Anolis sagrei: one gene and its partner. The protein of the gene in region 1 interacts with the protein of each later gene in a pairwise test. Links are inferred from orthologs where the notes say so. Each region holds a gene or a part of one and is shown in the gene's direction. Other genes may lie near its edges.

What was found.
Region 2: the proteins of LDLRAD1 (region 1) and MAL-like protein interact in binary tests that used the Homo sapiens proteins (3 or more experiments, as listed by UniProt). The two-hybrid records come from large-scale screens. The link is inferred for Anolis sagrei from reciprocal best matches to the Homo sapiens genes LDLRAD1 and MALL.

Annotation. Positions count from the first base shown.
Region 1 is NC_090024.1:172,563,695-172,574,179, forward strand, and holds the start of LDLRAD1 (low-density lipoprotein receptor class A domain-containing protein 1), read left to right. Parts: upstream 1-6,435; coding exon 6,436-6,604; intron 6,605-9,656; coding exon 9,657-9,794; intron 9,795-10,025; coding exon 10,026-10,154; intron 10,155-10,485.
Region 2 is NC_090021.1:23,448,953-23,460,231, reverse strand, and holds the start of MAL-like protein, read left to right. Parts: upstream 1-6,332; 5' UTR 6,333-6,536; coding exon 6,537-6,647; intron 6,648-11,279. Other genes in the region: NPHP1 (nephrocystin-1), read left to right, coding at 710-988.

The DNA of each region.
Region 1 (10,485 bases):
GGGTTTGTAGTTTAGGGAGGAGCCTTTAACAGCTTCACTAAACTACAAACTCCAGAATTCTGCAGGAGGCAGAAACCGGGTTTAAAGTGGATTTTTTCTCTAGTGTGATGAAGTGGTTAGGCTTGCATACTCCTTCCCCCTTTCATCATTTGCTCACCAGTGGTGGAAGTAAAAAGCTCATGTTTTCCATTTTAAATTAATCACCATACCCTTTATTAATAAACTGTGGCCAGTGAAAAGAAACTTGTTTATATCAACCCTCTTTGAAACAAATCCAGTACCCTGAGACCTGTTACAGAAATATGGTAATTTTCAATATCTCCCTTTGATTTTTAAAAGGAAATTGGAAAGTAGATAAGCCCAAAGTTTGCTGCAGTTCGTTGGAGTAATAATAATCCAGGATTTTCCACTATGAAAGGACCAAGCCGCTATTTATGCTGATTGTTCCTGGCTTATGACTTTAAAGGGCTTAATTACAATAAACAACAAAGATGAGATTTGCAATTAAATGTATTTATTCTCTGACAACAATTCTAAATTACTAATTGGCAAAAGGAGCTTTCAAGTTCCTTTATTTGTTTTTGATGTAATTCTATACATTAAAATATATTGCATTGGATATTTGTTGAGTCTTATTCATAAGGACTTCTGAAATGTTTGATAGCTACCTATTAACAGGGTTGCTGTGAGTTTTCCAGGCTGTATGGCCATGTTCCAGAAGCATTCTCTCCTGACGTTTTGCCCACATCTATGGCAGGCATCTTCAGCTGGACCACTCTAACAACTACCATGTCAGACTACACAGGGAAGCCACTGAAATCCACAAGCATGTGGACAATTTCACAAGAAAGGATTAAACCATGAAAATGAACCAAATTTGGCTACTGGTATTTAAAAAGCTGTAAAATCAGAACAGTAAAGAAAGAACACTTAAAAACAGAGGAATTCCAGACAAGAAACAATCAAAGCCAGCTAATCACCTCCCAACAAAGGATTCCCCAGGCAAGAAGCAGCCAAGCCTTGAAGCTGCAAAGCTTTTCAGTGCTAATCAAGGTGATCAATTGCAGCATTCACACTTGCCTAACAGACAAGAGTTCTTTCTCCCTCCCTGGACATTCCAGAGATATATAAACCCCACTTGCTTTGCTTCCAACAAACCTCACAACCTCTAAGTATGGCTGCCATCGATGTGGGCAAAACGTTAGGAGAGAATGCTTCTGGAACATGGCCATACAGTCCAGAAAACTCACAGCAACTCAGTTATTCCAACCATGAAAGCCTTTGACAATATAAACTTACTAACAGCTTAAAAATATATGGGGAAGGCTAAATACCTTTAGTCTGTTGAACCTTACCATGTTTTAAGTTACAGAACATATAAAAACAACTATTCTGTAGTGAAAGAGCAACCCAATAAAATCTGAATAACGTACTGCTGTCTCTAAATATCACTATATATTGTACATATGAATAAACGATCACAATAAAGTATATGATTCTGGAAACAGTAATAAAACTGGTGTTTTTAATCTAAAACAGCAGTCATCCAGTATGTCCTTTTATGATGGGGCAAACAGCAGTCATCCAATATGTCCATCTTTTATGATGGGGCAAAGAAAAGGGTGGTCTGGGAAGGGTAAAGGAACTGATGTCCACAGCCTGTTATGTTTTTCTTCTAGGAAGAGATTGGCACTTCATTTCAATAGTAGGGTTGTCTCCCAGTCCTGCAACTTTAAAGGTTAAGACCGCTAACACTACAATATACAACAAAAAAAACAAATGCTGCTTCAAAGTAATTTTACTATGCATTGCTTACTTCAACTATTGTTGCTTCATGTTCTTTCCGGTTTCTGAATATAATGTTCATGACAGATTCGTTTGTGAAAAACGCTGAATTAAGCATTGCAAAGTTTAAATAAGCTAGAATTCATACTTCAGTCTAAAGACACATTGCTGCTATTTTGGGGACCAATATTACTGAACTCTACCTCTGACATTCATATTAAATAGCAAATCATAGATGACAGAACCATTTTTAGGGCTTTACATACTCTTATTTAGTAGAAGACAGAAGTGTTGTCCGTTACCAATTCTTGAAATGTGCCATCATGCCTAATTTTATTTTTGGTTGCTCTTATATGCAAGTCAGTACTTTATCTGGCTCTTGATACCGATCAGAGAGGTGTGACCACCATAGCATGTTAATCATCATGTTTCCTGTAACCACATGTGAACCCATTTCCATCTCCAAAATCTTTTTCACATATTGATATCATCAGGATCACATTTGGATCTGCTCATACTAAGTAAAGTTCTACTGTGTAAAATGGCAGTTGATGTGATGAAGAATAACAAAACCGCATTCCTCAAATGCTGCATCAAGAAGAAAACGTACTATTTAATGTTTGCTTCAGTTGAGGTGTTCATGTGATGAGAGTTTATCCAAAAGACATGATTTTGAGTACTTCAAAACTTCAGAACCAACAAGATGCCACAAATTCAACCTGAGATGATTTAATAGTTTTAAATTTGCTAAATTTAGTATACAGCAAGGTTCCTATTTGTTTTACCTTGTCCCCATTAACATGAAACTTACTAGCTGGCCTTATTTTTGGCATTTTTGAGTGGGATAGGATTGTTAAATGAAATCTCAATTGCAAAATAAACATGTTGAGGTGTTTTTCTGAAAGCCCTCATAGGTCTGATGTGTCATTTTATATCACCTATCACACCTGAAGTTGCCTCCCTGCAAGTGTCTTACACAGCAGTCTGAAGGATTTACTAGTTTCTAAATTGTTGTGTTGTGCTGTTTTTCAAATGCTTCCGTCAGTTCCCTAGCATCCTCAATGCTGGGGAACTGAAGGGAGCTGCACTAAAAGATCCAATGTTTTACACCAGGATTGGTAATACTCTTGCTCTGCAAATGTTATTTAAAAGCACATTCCATCAGTGTCAACGTAATCAATAGTGAAGAATTCTAGCAGTTGCAATCAAGAAACAGATCGATGCTTTAGGAGTTTGGGAAGATCACAAAAGTATAAAATACTTAGTCATTTCTTAATTCATAGTAAACAGCTTTTGGTTAATCAGATTAGGAAGGTGGTTTGAGAAGTTGGATCCTTTCCACACTTTCATTTTTGAAAATTGCAGTGGTTTTGGGTGTTTAAATGAAAAAAAAAGCCATGAATGAACACTGAATCATTATACGATTAAATATCAGTCAACATATATGAACAGAAGCTTTGCAGACTAATTTAATTTAAAGGGTCTTTGTGGTATCAGTTAAAATGGAACCTTATCTAAATATGGCTATACAAAAAGTATACAAAAGGCTGGTTGCTATACCAAAAGAATTAATTTAAAGTTAAAAACAGTAACTGACAATCTTAAGGATCAGAAACAACTTTGGGTTTCTGTGAGTTTTCTGGGCTGTATGGCCATGTTCCAGAAGCATTCTCTCCTGACGTTTCACCGACATCTATGACAGGCATCCTCAGAGTTGTGAAGTCTATTGGAAACTAGGCAAGTGAAATTTATATATCTGTGGAATGTCCAGGGTGGGAGAAAAAACTCTTGTCTGTTTGAGGCAAGTGCGAATGTTGCAGTTAGCCACCTTGATAGGCATTTAATGGCCTTGTAGGAAACAACATTATTTTCCCATCTACCATATCTGTAAAGATGCTGATGTGTTGCTTTGGAAAATCAGTGGCTACTAATCCAAATGGTTGTATTATCACTCCCAGTATCAGTAGCAAAATACCTCTTTGCATCACTTGTTGGAGAACAGGTTGCAGGTGAACTAACATGCTCCTTCAAAGCTTACTGGTTGGGAATGGTGTGACCAGAATGCTGGGTTAGATTGCCTTTCTGTCTGACCCATCACAACTCTTTTAAGTTCTTAAGTTAGTTAATAAGTTCAGTTCCAGAAGGGTCTGAAGTATTAGCACAAAGTCTTTTATAATTTCTGGCAAAGCTGCAGGTAGGCAGATCGTGCTATTTGTTTTTGTTATCACTTTTCCTAGGCATGGCTGAGTTTAACATGACCCTTTTGTTCTTACATCTGTTTCTCTTAGTAGCCAGGTAACACTACCCCAAGAATGTATCTGTGGTTTGGTCTTATAAAACAAAACAGCTTGTAAAAGTTAGTTCCTCTTCCTGTACTAGCAGCATGATAGTTTGAACAGAGATGAACACCCAGTCAGATTAATTCCTACCTGTGAGTTAATATAACTTCTGAAGTAATTCATTGGGGAAAGATGACCAGAACTTACCCTCAGGTATTATTACACACTCTTGAAAAAGATATTTGTAATTATTACTTTGAACATCAGACAAACACACAATTTTACTGCTTTTTTCTGTAATTTTTAACTAATGGATTGAATTAAAATTAAAATTTTAATTTCTGTGTGGTATTTGCATGTTGCTGAAAATATTCAGATAGGATGCATTTAAGTCAGCCAAGTTTATCAACCAAATATATTTGATTTAAAAGGCCAATGGATGCAATTACTTCTTAGTGTCTCAAAGGCTCCCCTTTTCAATAAGGTATGTATCTATTATTATTTTTAATTTCAGAATTTTGATGGAAGCTTCCTTGGTTCAGAAAAATCTCTCTCTACAACTAAAAGAGGTAATTGGGAGAAATCTCATCTTTTAAAGGAGTCTATTTCATTTCTCTCCGTGCATCTGCTGTCTTTTACTGTACACACATTTTCTTATTAAATACAGACACTTTTATAGTCCCCAAACCAAGTTAAATATAAATATTTACAGGAAATGGGCTTTGTGTTTCGGGGTAATGACAACATGTTATATGCTTCATAAAAGGATGTCAATTGTAATTATTCTCAAACAACTAAAGACAGGAAAGTGATGGGAGGCAGGTGGTTACAGAATTCGAGATTATCTGATTCTCAGTTTGGCATTTTGTATATTTGAAAGGGACCAGCACTGTAAAGTATGGGATGCATGCCATGGTCCTCAGGTTCTGTCTTTGGCACCTGCACTTAAAAACAGTTTTCAAGAGACAGATTTTCAAAAAGATCAATTCTAGACATTTTGTTGAGTAACTGCCAGAGCAGGAAATAGATGGTTAAATAGTTTAGTTGCACATTGACATTTAAATGATTAAAGATAGCTTTACTGGAGTCAACTCATGACAAATTGTAATGTTATCATCTGATGAGATTTGTAAAATATCAGCTGTTCTCTATGAACATGTCAATATTAAACTTTTTTTACCAAATTGATTTTACGTATTTTTTGATGTTGGAAAAAATTAAACTAAGGGCAACTTCAGATGACAGTATTACAGCACTATTATTCCACTTAACACCCCCCCCCCCCCCCAATGATTTTAAATACTCCTGGGATTTACAGTTTACATATAATTCTCAGCCAGAAAACTAAGTACACATCTCCATTTGGTGGTTAGGTACTACTGTGCTCTTGCTGATAATAATTCATAATTAAAGGTAAAGGTTTCACCTGACCTTAAGTCTAGTCGCGTCCAATTCTGGGGAGTGGTGCTCATCCCCATTTCTAAGCCAAAGAGCCGGTGTTGACAGTAGATGCCTCCAAAGTCATGTGGCCAGCATGACTGCATGGAGCACCATTATCTTCCCGCCGAAGCAGTACCTATTGATCTACTCATATTTGCATGTTTTCAAACTGCTAGTTCAACAGAAGCTGGGCCTAACAGTGGGAGCTCACCCCATTCCCCGGATTCGAACCGCCAACCTTGTGATTAGCAAGTTCAGCAGTTTAACTCACTGCACCACTGGGGCAGTGGTTAATTTGTACCAGTCCCTAAACTGCAAATCCCAGTTATAGCAGTTAAAATGGAATCATAGTGCTTTAATGATTTTATGCATAGATCCCCAGCCTTTATTCATCCAGATGTTGGGGGAGGGTCAATGCCCAGAAGCCTCAGCCTGCTTGGCCAGTTGTTAAGATTTCTGTGAGCTAAATTCCAGAACATCTAGACGACACCATTGGTACGGTGCGAAAGACCTAGATATATCTGAAACTCCCCCCCCCCCCAAACATTTATGTATTTATTTACGACATTTATATCTTGCCCTTCTCACCCCAAAGGAGATTCAGGGTGGCTTACAAGAGAGGCACAAATTGATGCCTTAAGTACATATAAAAATAAAACAACATATACATTAAAATCACATGATTAAAACATATAAATTAAAAACAATTACTTAAAATCACATTAGTAATGGGTTGATAAGTGTGGCAAAAGCAGAAAACTTTGGGCATAAATAATTGGTATGGTTGTATGGAATAACTTTGAGAATTAGTAACAACCAAAGTGGCTTTTTTTTCTATTGAGGTTTAGTCAATGGTTGGTAAAAGCTGGTTTCTGCTTGCAGATTTTGTAGTAAAATATTGCATTTTATTTGCTCTTTAATGCCTCTCTCCATGGCAGGTACCATACGTGACCAGCGAGATTGCTGCAAGGAGTCTTGTCAATGCGTCCCTTGCACTCGGAGATGCGTCTGTGCATCTGCCATTGGTTTTATTATACTTGCCGTTATCATTGCTGCCATTGCATTAATTGTCACAGTTGGTATCCCCCCACGTACAGCAGGTCAGTCACTATTATGTTGACTGTATTATTTCCCACTAGAGTCATTGATATGATGCCTTGAATGTGTCACAATTATTTCAATATGTTAAAGGTTGAGCTTGTTGAAGTAAGTAGTGTGTGGACACAATGAGAAGCTGAAGCCTAAATCCAAGGTTGCAGTAACAATATAGCTGAATATACCGTACTTCCTCTTAACTCCTTCCTGGAGCTCTGGGCATTTCATGAAAATCTGGTTTTCTGGATCTCCAAGACTTGTTTATCAGGGGAACTAGCAAAACCAGTTCCTGGAATTACAATGGTTAACCAGAGGGTAACTATAACATGATGCTCATCATTTTGCCATCATGTCCAGTTTTGCTCTCAGGAAAATTTCTGAAACTTGAGTAATTACAAGCCCTCTCCTGTTGCATACTTAAAGGGAAAGCTGTCTGTGGACTGATATTGTGGGTACCCACAGAGGACATAAGGGGTTCATGTTTGTCTTGACATGGCTATATTTTGATACCAAATCACCTGAAAATAGATCCCAGAAATGACCAGAAGTTCACTTCTGATTGTTAGTTTCAGATTTTCTGCTCACCTGTGGGATTGTTTTGGAAAGGTAGGGCTGGAAAGCTATGTACTGAGCAAGCACCAGTCCAAATAGCACTTGGGAGGACATTTCATATTTTTTGATGACTTTGGGAAGGTTTAGCGTTTCTTAACCTGGGGGTCGGGACCCCTGGGGGGTTTGCGAGGGAGGTATCAGAGCAGTCGCCAAAGACCATAAAAATGCAGTATTTTCTGATGGTCATAGGAGTTCTGTGTGGGAAGTTTGGCCCTATTGGTGGGGTTCAGAATGCTCTTTGATTGTAGATGAACTATACATCCCAGCAACTGCAACTCCCAAATGTCTATTTTCCCCAAACTCCAATAGTGTTCACATTTGTGCATGTTGATTATTCGTGCCAAATTTGGTCCATATCCATCATTGTTTGAGTCCACAGTGCTCTCTGGATGTTGGTGAACTACAACTCCAAAACTCAAGGTCAATGCCCACCAAACCCTTCCAGTATTTTCTGTTGGTCATGGGAGTTCTCTGTGCCAAGATTGGTTCAGTTCCATCATTAGTGGTGTTCAGAATGCTCTCTGATTGTATGTGAATTATAAATCCCAGCAACTACAACTCCCAAATGAGCAAATCAATCCCAAATCCCAACCCCACGAGTATTCAAATTTGGGCATATTGGATATTTGTGCCAAATTTCATCCTGTGAATGAAAATACGTCCTGCATATCAGATATTTACATTACAATTCACAACAGTAGCAAAACCGCAGTCATGAAGTAGCAATGAAAATAATTTTATGGTTTGGGGTCACCACAACATGAGGAACTGTATTAAGGGGCCGCAGCATTAGGAAGGTTGAGAACCACTGGTAAAAAGTAAAAAGTAAAAAAAAAGAAGTAAAAAGTAGAAAGTGAAGAGCATCCAGTGAACTCAAATGACTTTTTTAAAATGCATACACAGAAAACTACACAAATATCAAGAGGATAACACAATATTGAATTATTGTAAATTTTTTAGAGTCTATAAATACCCACTTCACATCAAAACTACAAAAACTTCTGTGCCAGGAATTCCAAAACCATTTACTAACAGAATTCATTGTAATTTGAATGAAAGCTGAAGGGTTTTAAAAATATCTATCTTGTAAGGAAATGGTAGAAAGAATAGAGATAGCATTCAAGTGCACAAGGATATATCTAAACTGAAGAGAAAAGGACTTTCTCTCTAAAAGATAAGGGTGGTTATTGTAAAAGTTTCCCCTGCCACATATATCCTTTCTATGCTCACAAAGCCAAATGCCTAAATCGCTCACAGAACATACTTCTATGATTGATAGATCAACTCTTGAAGTTATACAGGGTTAGTCAAAATGCATAGGCCAATAAGCCATTCAATTGAATGGCTTATTGGCCTATGCATTTTGACTAACCCTGTATTTCAAATTTAGACTGTCTGAACCACCGCATCAAACAATCTATCATAACTAAGATAGCTTACAATGGGCTTCTATATTTCATTTAATGGTTGTTAATAGTCTCCTTTGATATGCTGCCAGTTTGACTGATTTCTCTAAATCTCAGAGCATTCGAAGCCATTTCCTTTCATTTGGTTCTGACCAGAAAGTATATCATCTCGCAGAATTAATCATGCAGGTGCCAAAATGAACCATTCCCACATATAGCCTTTCTTAAAACATAGTCAAAATATTTTGTACAGCTGTGTATTACACTTCTTCACAGTATACACTCAAATGGTTTCTCTTACTCTTATGTGGATGTTGGATAATGACTCTGGAGACCAAGGTTTGGATCTCTGTTCAGCTATGGAAGCCCATTGGATGACCTTGGAGAAGTCACACTCTCTCAACCTCAGTGGAAGGCAATGTAAAACCTCTTCTGGACAAATATTGCCAAGAAACCAGGTGATAGGTTCGTCTTAGGGTCGCCATAGGTCAGAAATGACTTGAAGTCACATAACAACAACACACTTCTAAGGGTTAGGGCCCACACTGTCCCTATGTGGAACTTAAATGACCTGAGTAAAAGGTAAAGATTTCCCCTGACATTAAGTCTAGTCATGTCTGACTCTGGGGGGTGGTGCTCATCTCCATTTCTAAGCTGAAGAGCTGGCATTGTTCGTAGTCCCCTCCATGGTCATGTGGCCAGCATGACTACATGGCGCATTGTTACCTTCCTGCAGAAGCAGTACCTACTGATCTACTCACATTTGCATGTTTTTGAGCTGGGTTGGCAGAAGCTGGGCCTAATAGCAGGAGCTCACCCCTCTCCCTGGATTCAAACTGCCAGCCTTTTGGTCAGCAAGTTCACCAGCTCAGTGGTTTAACCTGCTGCAACACAAGGGGGCCCTAATGATAACTAAGCTTGAAGATCAGTCGTGAGTCTGCAATTAGACGTTTTAATATACAGTAAAATGATTACAGAAGTGTACTTGATCTGATCAGTATCAGTATTTATAATTTATTATATTGTTTTTATTTTTCAGTGAATCGTTTATGTGTGACTACCAGTAACCAGACAGGCTTTTTATGTGACAACCGAGAGACCTGTATACCAGCCAGCCAAGTCTGTGACACAAGAAGACATTGTGCAAATGGGGAGGATGAGCAAGAGACACTATGTAGTAAGTGTAACAAAAACCTGGTTTTCAAGAGTTGTCTTTGCTTCATCGATTTCATTATTTCAAATAACTTTTTATCCTTTGGAATGTTTAGGCTTTCTTTCCAACATCTATATCTTTGTGAGGCTGCCTGTTAATATCATCAGAAAAATGTTTGGACATTAGGGGATAATCATAAGACTTTCATGCACATCCCTGCTAAAATGATGTATTTTGTTGTATTTATTTTGGTAGGTGACTTACCCAACAACCTTCCAGGTTACTTAATATTTCATTGCAGCAATCCCCGATTTTGGATACCTGCAGACAAACGATGCAATGGGATCAATGATTGTGGAGACTGCTCTGATGAAGTAGGGACCTGTAAGTCTGTTCATCATAAAACTATATATCACTGACAGATGCTTATGATTTATGATAGGGTGAAAGGCTCTGAGTCCTGGTCTCCAGGGCAGCAGAAAAAAGCCTGCTCCCTCTTGCTTATGATATCCTTTCAAATATTTATACATGGCTATCATGTTTCCTCACAACCTACTTTTCTGCAGGCTAAACATACCCAAGTCTTTAAGATGCTTCTCATAGGTATTCGTGGTCTCCAGACCTTTGATCATTTTAGTTGCCCTCTGGACACCTTCCAGCTGGTCAATATCTCTTTTAAATTGCAGTACCCAGAATTGGACACAGAGTGATTCCA
Region 2 (11,279 bases), on another chromosome or scaffold:
TATTATGCTTGCCTTTCAATTGATCTCTTCTCAAAAAAAGAAAAGAAATATAAACAAAACGAATATAAGCGAGAAAAAGAACTGAAGTAAGTTGCATTATGTAGAAATGGAATCCACATGTGAGAACTCACTCACCATCTGAAGAAACCTTTTCTATAGAATAGTGGTTCACAAATTTGGGTACCTAGATGTTGTTGAACTTTAACTTTCAGAGCCTCTGATAATCGGTCCACAATCAGATATTTGTGGCACGTTGTAAGAGGAGGAGCCAGCTATGTGCAGTGGAGGTGTCCCATCCCCCTGGAGATATTCACGTTTCCTCTGATTTTGAGGGTTGGGGGATGGCGCCTAACCCTCTAAAGTCCAAAATTCAAAATTGGTGACATGAGTGGCTAAGATAGTGATACCTTGGTTTTTTGCTGGGTCAATGTACGCAAACTTTGTTTCCTGCATAATAATAATCAAAGTATTGTATAAAATAATCTTCAGTCTATATATTTATGAAGTATAAATGAATTTCATGTTGTACTTACGTCCCTTCTCCAGGTTCGTTCTCTCCCCGCCTCTCTCTCTATACACACACACAAATACAGATATTACAAAATACAGAAGTATCCAAAACAGTTTTACTCCCAAGTTTTTTAGAAACTCAATTGTAGGATTCCATCAAACATTTAATGTATTTTAAATTTGTCTTTTCCTTTTTTAGAGAGACCAGGAATTTCTGAAGTCTGTGTTCAACCTGGTGTACCACGATTCTGTCTTTCCTCTTCTCCAGTCTGTGATCCTTCCAGAATACAAATGGGCAGAAGAAGAGTCAGAAGGCACACGCTGGCGAATGATTGCTGATTTCCTGAAGAAAAACAGAGAAAGAGAGGGTGCCCTCTCCTCTCTGCTATCATCTGAAAGTCCTCACAAAGCTTTTGATATCATGGAAATAGCATATGATTTTGTAGGAGAGGCAAGGACAAATAATCCTTTGGTGTAAGTGAATCTTAAGGCCATGCATCTCTGCCAAATACTGTGTCAAAAATGTATCAATAACCATAATGACTAATGTGGCCAAAAAGGTAATATTTTTATAGTTTAGATTTGCTATTAAGATATGTTGGGTAACTATTTTTTAAAGAAAATATATAAAGTTTTATTTATTAACTTTGATCATTCTTGCTGTGTTTTTATGGGGTTGCTTCCTAGCAAAAGTTGTCAGAGAAGCAGATAACGTTCAGTGCCTCAGATCTTACATTGAGCAGACAGCAACTAATGTGTCCCTTATACAGTTCTATGCCTCTCCTCTGGCTCAGCCCAGGAAGGTGGTGGGAAGAGGAGGCAGCTCAGTTGATGAAGATGCAGCTGGTGTCATCTTGAAGGGCAGAAGAAACAAAAGAACACTGGGTTCCTTTTATTTGTTCTTCCCCTGGGAGCCTACAGCAGTTGCATCTTCATTATCTGTCCTCTCTTGAAATAGCAGCAGCTCACCTCGGGGTTTGACAGCTACTGGGAGAGAAGAGCTTTTAGACATTATGCAAAGACCTAGCAAAGAGCTTTGCACTCCTACCAGAAAGCGAGCGAGTGAGCATGCATGTAATAATAATAATAAAAATAATACTTTATTTCTAGACTGTCCTCTCTCCCCAAAAGGACTCAGGGCAGTTTACACACAAAACAAAGCAAACATCCAATTCCCAAACAAGTGCAGATACATCAAAGCAATGACATAATAAAAAATAATAACAACAGTGAACTAATTGCATGAAAAAATTAAACATCAAAAATGAAAAAAAGGATACAAATAAACACGTAAAACAAAGTACATTAAAAACATAATCAACGTTAAAACAGTTGTCACAGTAAAACAATTAAAATAGATAAACATTGGCTGTTCTGGTTGTTTTTTAAAATGTACCATTGTGGCCATGGGGCACAAGTAAGTCAGCCAGCATTCCAATGGCATTTGTCTAGAGCAGGGCCCCTCAAAGTTTTTAAACAGAGGGCCAGGTCACAGTCCCTCAAACTGTTGGAGGGCCGGATTATAATTTGAAAAAAACATGAATATATTCCTATGTACACTGCACATATCTTATTTGTAGTGCAAAAAACACTTAAAATAATACAATAATTAAAATGAAGAACAATCTTAACAAATATAAACTTATCCGTATTTCAATGGGAAGTGTGGGCCTGCTTTTGGCTGATGAGATAGGATTGTTGTCGAGTGCTTTCAAGTCATTTCAGACTTAGTTGACTCTGAGCGAGGGCCGGGTAAAGGACCTTGGAGGGCCGCATCCGGCCCCCGGACCTTAGTTTGGGGACCCTTGGTCTAAAGTATCCCAATCCTTCTCTTCTCCATATGCCAAAGTGAAGAGGTGTGTTTTCAAGACTTTTGAAAGAGAGGAGGGTGGGGTCTGTTTTTATTTATTTCGGGAAGGGGTTCCAGAGACAGGGAGCGATCACGGAGAAGGCCCCCTCTCTCGTTCCCACCAACCACGCTTGTGACGGGGTTGGAACCGAGAGCACTGTAAGCTATACAGTGTGCATATACATCACAAGATCCTGCTCAATAAACACTATCATCTACTACTATCTATATAAATAAAAATGTAATGTTCGTTTGTGGGATTAACATAACTCAAAAACTGCTGGACGAATTGACACCAAACTTGGACACAATACACCTATCAGGCCAACATATGAACATCACTTATAGAATTATTATTATTATTATTATTATTATTATTATTATTATTACTTTATTTGTACCCCGCTAGCATCTCCCGAAGGACTCGATGCGGCTTACACAGGCCAAGGCCTCAAACACAATACAACAATACAATACCTAGAGCAAATTAAAAGCAGATTAAGCAGAGTAAACAACAACAATAACAATACACAGACATCAAGACACTATAAAACTGGGCCAGGCCGGGGTAGTGGGTACAGGATTAAAAGTGCTGATGTGGCAGGAGGTATGTAGGATTATAAAATAGGTGCATTGTGCGATGTGCAGTGATCTTAATTCTATTAAAGTGCTTCTAGGATTTGGTATTGGGGGTTCCTAATCTGGAAAGGCACATCGGAACAGCCAGGTCTTCAAGTTCTTTCTGAAGACTGCCAATGAAGGGGCCTGTCTAAGAAACACTGATAAACACAGCAGAAGAGACTGAAAAAACCAAAAACAAAAATTACAATGCATGTGCAAAACCACAAACACACATATACACAAATATATATACACACAACAAAACACATACACAGACTGGGCCACAGCAACGCATGACGGGGCAGCTAGTTCCTTAATATATTACAAGACAAGTCGGAAGTGGCAGAAACTCTGACTTGGTCTGGTGAATTTCAAAAATCAAATATTTCAAGTCAATGTCATAGAATCATTAGGACACAGAGTTGTAAAAGACTAAAAAAAGCAACATTCAGGAATACAGCAATTATAGCACAGGTGGTCATCCAGCCTCTGTTTGAAAACATCCAAAGAGAGATTCCACCACATTCTGAGACAATATATTCCACTGTCCAATGGCCCTTCCACCAGAAAGTTCTTCCTAAAGTTAGGTGGAATCACTTTTCTGTAATTTGAGCCTTAATTCCTGAAGTTTGAATCAAATAATTCTGATTCATTTAATATACCACTTTTCCCCCAAGATGATGATCATATGCTAAAAAATAAACTTTAAAACATTCAAAGTTTTTAAAAAGTTAAACATGTCTCAGTAAATGCTGGTAATTATTAATAATTGTTGGAAATGAACATGTTTCTTCACGAGGGAGATACTTCTTTGAGGTTTGGATGTTATGTGTAGGAGTGCATACATATCTCCCACTATCCTTCTAATTATTCTGAGAATTACTGTCATGTGTCAACATTTACCATAACATCTGTAAGAGAAGTGTCAAATTGACCCAAAGCTTGTCATATTCAATCACATTCTGGTAATGACATCAGGGGATAGATATGATCAGAACCTCTCCTGGAGATCCTTGCATTAGACCACAGCCTATAATTTCAGGGCTGAATGTTTGACATGGTAGGGACAGATACAGAAATGAAAGATATCCCAATATTTTTTTTCTTTTTCATTATTCCGTTCCACCTTGTAAGCACAACAGTGCAGGTTTTAAAGTCTGAATTGTCAGATTGTTGCAGCACAGGCAGCCTCTGAATACTTCTCTCTGTCCATGGTTTTCCTGGCGTAATGCATCTCATTGAAGTGGAAGAGGCTTAAACATCCCAAGTGGCATAAAGATAGGAGTGGTCATTCCTAATGCAATTATTTTGAGATGTTTGCTTAGTGGGCCCAAAGCAGGAATCTAGCCATAGCACCTGAGCGGAGATGAAACTAGTTCAACAAGGCTAACCAGAAACCAGTCTCTCTGTTGGATGTGTTCCCAATCAATTTCCAGCAAGACAATAGAGGCCTTCAGAAAAGCACGTCAGTGTTGCCCTCAGAACATTTAGAAAATGTGCTGCTATGTTAATATAAGACTTCAATCCCATCAGATATATAGATCTCACTCCCACAAGGTTAAGCAGCTAATTGTGCATGTTGTTTCTTCTCCCTGCAGCAGGATGTGCAGATTGAGCAGACAGGATTACTGACCTTAAGGCTATAGGTTTACATTTCATTTCCTACATACATCAGTCTAGGAAAAATGACACGTTCAGTTGGGTAAATACGTTTGGGAACCAACTCTCTCATGAATTAAAACAGAACGTATTTGTATTTGTATTTTGGTCTGATATTTAGATATGAACACAAATAGCAAAACTGCCACTTGTCTAGGTTTTCCATCTTCCTGTGAAGATACAGGAAGACACATTTTAATTTATGTAATGTTTAAGCTGTGTACATTGCCTCAAGGAAGAATGGCAACAATCCCATAAGACAAAAAAGTTTGGTAATTAAACAAAGATCAGAAAAATAAAACTTGAGATTTGGAAATATAATCAGCCCTCTACATTAGACATCCAAGACCCTTGTGAAAGTGGAAAAACAGCAAAAAAGCACTATTTTTTTGATAAAATACCTGTCTAGGTCTTCCATTGTTACTTCTGTTGGAAGTTGATCTAGAGGACTTTAGAGATTCCTAGAGGTAACATATTAATCAAATCTGTGAATAATCAAATCACAAGTCAAACCCACAAATGTGGAGGGCTGGCTATACATGTGCATTTATTTGTTTCTGGCTATGGACTTATTTTGATATTTTTCAGAGGTCTTTCTTGCTCTATGTTTGCTTTAGGTACAAAGGGAGCAGTCTTACATTCCACCAGCTGGGAGGAATGTAAACAATAGATGTCCATGCCCCTATTAAGCATGTTATTTCTCTATTTGATTACACCTTCTTCCTCCTGGCACACGATTGTTTTTGGAAACAGGTCTGTTCTCAAAACCAGTACATATCAGTTACGTGTTAATTTCTGCTCTGTAGCACAGAAAGTGTGTGCGTAGCAGCCAAAGACAGGTTGAATGTTTTCTTTAGGACGTATAATTAAATAGGACCAAAGACAATGTGTAGCCAGTTGCCGCAACCATATCATTCTTTCCCTCCAACCAAATGTCATGTTGACTCCAAAAGAAAAGCAATATAATAAAAAGAATAAAACTTAATTTATATCCCACTCCATCTCCCTGAGGGGACTTGGAGTGGTTTACAACAATGTGAATAATACAATGAAAACAAGTCACCCAATGTGATTTAGTAATGTTTCTGTTTTCCTTTCCCTAGCCTTCATCCAGCTATATCAACTCCCTCTTTACAGCACCTGTCTATATATTTATGCCAGCAATGGGGTGAAAAATGAGGCTGACTTGTAGAGAAACTCCTATGCACCCCTTTTCTAGCCAGTGGATGACTATATCCTCTCTCACCAGCTGGTCCTTTTTATTGGCTGGAGTGATCAAATAACAATATAAGAAATGCCATGATAGATCAGTCCAAGACCATTCTTGTCCAACATCTGACAGAAGCCAAGTAGTTGTCCAGGGGAGATCTTTTTCCAACCTCAGTTGTGAAAAAATCAGATGCCAACATGTTTTCATTTGAATTCAAAACTGTTTTTGAGTTTGTTGTCTTTCAAAATATATGTTTTCTAAAGTTTCAAACTTTCAGAATAAATAGTAGTTAACTTGTAAAGATTTTCCTCATTGGACACAATGGATAGAAACTGAATGAGTTGACGAAACCATTCAAGAGTTCTTTTAGGAAGCCCTCAAGTAATATTACAGCTGGAGTTTTATGTGTGTGTGCATAGCCCCTCCTCCTTCCTTCTTTTTTTAGTTTTCTTTTTATAAAGGATTTGATCTCTGTTTTCTGACGGACTTTATTAGCCTTTGCATAGTTGATGATTTTTCTGTGATGACTTGAACAGCTACCTGCCAAGTTGGAACTGGTTTCACCCTTGACGTCCACCTGGGTGTGTCAGTGGATACTATTTTAAGCTTCAGAAGCCAATGGTAGTATCACACAGATAACCCAGAGTAGCAGACTGTAAGTGCCAGAACACTTTTGATTGTAAAGAAATGGATACCAAAACCTCAGGACCAGCTTCTGTCTCCCCGGTACCTGACAATATTCCGTCTGGACTAGCTGTTTTCAGAACAATACCATATGCCTTCATCTTACCAGAGCTGGTAAGTCAACAGAGTTTTAGAGCAGTTATTTAAAAAGACTAATCTATGTTCTGTTTAACAAAAAAGACTTATCTATATTATGTTTAACAAAGACTTCATACAGTGACAAACCTGTATTTGCCATAGCATAGATAGGATGGTGAGTAACGGCTTCGGGTATTTGTATGATAAACACAGGTTTCGTGTATGTTAGTTCTATTGATAATCTCAGATTCAAACTTGAATAAGGAAATTCTCTCATATAAATGTACAATCACATATGTAATTTATTAGACCAGGAAGTGTGTGTGCAGATTTAATTTATTTCAGAATGCTTCTCTGATTACTGAGTTTGAATAACAACAACAACAACAACAACTTTATTTTTGTATTGTCGAAGGCTTTCATGGTTGGAATCACTAGGTTCTTGTGGGTTTTTTCGGGCTATATGGCCATGTTCTAGAGGCATTTCTCCTGACATTTCGCCTGCATCTATGGCAAGCATCCTCAGAGGATGCTTGCCATAGATGCAGGCGAAACGTCAGGAGAAATGCCTCTAGAACATGGCCATATAGCCCGAAAAAACCCACAAGAACCTAACTTTATTTTTGTACCCTGTGTCCATCTCCCAGAAGGGACTTGGGGTGGCTTACATAGCCTGATCAACACAGTTAAAATAACACATTAAAATTCATTAAACAGCAAAATAACACATTAAAATTCATTAAACAGCAATATAAAGGAAAATAAAACAAAAACAAGCAAACAAGAGCATAACACAATATAAAAACAACCGCCACAAACAACCAGTAGTCTGAAATGGCAAAACAGTTGTAAGCTTCGGTGGGGGGAAAGGGACACAAATAGCTGTGAAGAAAGGGCTGATAGATAAAGTGCAAGTACCAATTGACACGATTGGGGATAAAGCGCAATATGAGATGGAACACTATATCTTTGGGCAGGGAAGAATAGTCAAGTGTAGGAGCTGAATTTTGGGTTATAGCTGGAGGTCAAAATTTTCTGGGGAACCGACTAATCAAAAGCACAGTGGAACATCCATGTTTTTAGATCTTTGCGACAGATGGACAAGGTGGGTACCAGCCTAATCTCCCTGGGGAGAGAATTCCCAGAGCCAGGGGGCCAACTCCAAGAAGGCCCCCTCCCTCGTCCCCACCATCTGCACTTGAGACAGAAGGGGAGCGAGAGGAGAGCCTCCCCAGAGGATCTTAGGGATTGTGCAGGTTTGTATGGGAAGATGCGATCACCAAGTTACCCAGGTCCCAAACCATTTAGGGCTTTATAGGTGATAATCTGCACCTTGAATTAAGACCGGAAACTTATCAGAAGCTAGTGGAGCTGTTTAAACAGTGGGGTTGACTGGATCCTGTAATTTGCTCCCATTAACAACCTGACTGCTGACCTTTGCACTAATTGCAGTTTCCGGGCTGTCTTCAAAGGCAGCCTCACATAGAGTGCATTACTGTAATCTAAACTGGACATAACTAAGTCAGACTTCTCAATGTACGGTTGCAGCTGGCGCACAAGCTTTAATTGCGCAAAGGCCCTCCCAGCCACCGACAACACCTGAGCATCAAGCGTAAATGCTGAGACTATAAGAACCCCCAGACTGCGGACCTGTGTCTTCAGGGGGAGTCTAACCTCATCAAGCACACGTTGCCACCCTATGCTCCAATCCATCAAACTACTGACCTGGAGGACCTCTGTCTTGTCCAGTATTAAGCTTCAGCTTGGAAAATTTGGGAACATCTGTTCAGGTTTAACACACATCCCACTGCAATCTGTGAGATTCATCTGAGTGCAATATATATCTTTTTAATGAGACATATTTGAAAAGGGAGGAAAACCAAAAGAAGGAAAATCAAGGGAAATAAAATTATAAGAGTTGGACTAGATCACATGGTCATCTAGTCTAACCACCTTCTGTTCAGGAATACATAATCAAAGCACTCTGACAGATGGCCACCCAGTCTCTGATCAAGAACCTCCAAAGCAGGAAGCTCCACCAAACTCTGAAGCAACGTATTCCACTGTCGAACATCTCTTGCCACCAGGAAGTTCTTCCTTATAGATGAAATCTCTTTTCCTTTGGTTTGAATCTATTGTCTCTGGAAGAAAGCAAGGAAACAACTCCTTGAAAAGTACACTGCTGATACAAAGACTGATTGCATCAAAAAAAATGTAGTAGTCCAGTAAGGGACAATTTGAATTAGTGCTTTTAGATCAGCCTTTCTCAATTTGACTCCATACCAGCTGTGCATGAAGGAAGCTCTAGCAAATGCATATGGATGGCACCAGGTTGGAGAAAAGTGATTTTAAAGTATATGATAGCTGTTGCGTGTGCTTTCTTTCTAACAGGAAAGAAGTCTCTGTGTGTATTAATATTGTTGCGTGTGCTTTTTCTCTAGCAGGAGAGGTCTCTGTGTGCATTAATAAGGAATCTAGATTTGATACTATATGGTTGCAAGGCCCCTGCATAGTGAGTAGTTCCAGGGGTCTTTTTGGTAGAGAGTACATTGAACATTCAAACTGCCTCATACTCAGATTATTGATTTATTTATTCTAGTACTGCACCCTCTGATGGATAGCTGTTTAAAGTCTTATACAGATCTTTGCTTGCCATTGGTGTCAGATATTTTTAACTAGAGAGGCTGGGATCTGAACTCGAGACCTCACAACCTCTGAGGATGCTTGCCATAGATGCAGGTGAAACGTCAGGAGAGAATGCTTCTAGAACATGGCCCTAGAGCCCGAAAGACCTACAATAACCCAATGAACCTGAGTTGTCTTGGTGCAAACCATGTACCTTGCCACGGAACTACTGTTCTTTATGTTTATGATCCTTCCTTCCTTCCTTCCTTCCTTCCTTCCTTCCTTCCTTCCTTCCTTCCTTCCTTCTCCACCCTCCACCCAACTAGGTCAGCTTACATTAATGTTCAATAAATATAAGAGCAAAATGTTACAATAGAAAAACAGCTTTCAAACTGCAGCTAATACATTTCTAACAGTAAAACTTGGCAGATGGATCCAGAAAGTGGTAATCCAAAAGAAGTTTTCCAAGTTTTGCAGCCGCAGAGAAGAATTTGGGCAACTGTCAATTTATTTATTTATTTATTTGCTATATTTATACTGCCCTTCTCAGCCCGTAGGCGACTCAGGACGGTTTACAGTCAAGTGCAGACACTTCAATTCCCAGTCAAGTGTAGTCTTGATCTATCTTCCTTCCAGACACTATCTTTATCCTTGTGTAACTTTTAAGTCTTCCCATATATCTAGTTTCTGCAGAGATATCCAGAAATCAGGGGAACATCTCCTAGTTTCTAATCCCTATCAATGAAATGTTAGTTGACCATCCTGGTTTATTCAAACAGCAATCTGTTTAAGAAGTAAAAAGGTAAAGGTAAAGGTTTTCCTCTACATTAAGTCCAGTTGTGTCCAACTCTGGGGGTTGGTGCTCATCTCCATTTTTAAGCTGAAGAGCCGGTGTTGTTCGCAGACACCTCCAAGGTCATGTGGCTAGCATGACTGCATGGAGCGCCGTTACCTTCCCGCCAATGCAGTACCTATTGCAAGTTTTCAAACTGCTAGGTTGACAGTAGCTGGGGTTGACAGCGGAAGCTCACGCCGCTCCCCGGATTTGCACCTGCGACCTTTCGGTCAGCAAGTTTAGCAGCTTAGTGGTTTAACCCACTGTGCCACCAGGGCCTCCTCTGTTTAAGAAAGACATGGCCAAACAGCCATTACTAATAATGCATTACAGCATTCAATCCAGCCCATCTGGATTGGAGAACCACTCTTTTCCCATCCCTAATTATTTATCTCCTGGAGGCTGATTGCTTCAGGGATATAATAACATGCTCAGCTCATGAGTTTTTCTTTGAAGGTCTGGCCAATTACCCAGTTAAACCTGGAGATAATGATTGGATAGATTTCACTGTTGACTGTGGCAAGACTGCATGTGGTACCCGGGGATTTAACCAAGAAAGAAAGCAGAGTTGACTAATGCAGGCCAGAGAAGGAGGAAAGTAAGAGTAGCTGCAAATTAGGAGATAGACTTCTACTAATATACATATAAAATGCATCTGCAGTGAAGAGAAGACTGAGTTTATTTGGAACTCAATCCCATTAATTCCAATAGATTTTCCTTCCAAATTCAACATGTTCTTGGTTTGTCCCAGAAAGAAAACAGTGCCCATCCTGGTGAAATCAGAACAAATGCTGTAGTGAGGGAATTGCAGTGAAGAATAAGCATTACAGAAGTACTTAGCCAATTTAAATGGATTAATTTCTCCAGGGCCAAGTGAATTGAATACAGGGTTACTAAAGGAACTTGCCGGTCTAATCCCAAAGCCTTAAAGTGTTGATTATCTTTGAGATTACTGAGCTTCCAATGGACTTGAAGAGAGTAAATGTTGCCCCTATCTCCCAGATGTCCACCTTTTGGGAACCCTTAAAACTTCACAAGCTTTTTAGCTATGCTGCAAAAGCTTCTTGTGCATGTCTTTAGAATCCCACTAGAGCAGTATTTCTTAACCTGGGGGTTGGGACCCCTGGGGGGGGGGGGGTTCACGAGGGGGTGTCAGAGGGGTCACTAAAGACCATCAGAAAACAGTATTTTCTGTTGGTCATGGAGGT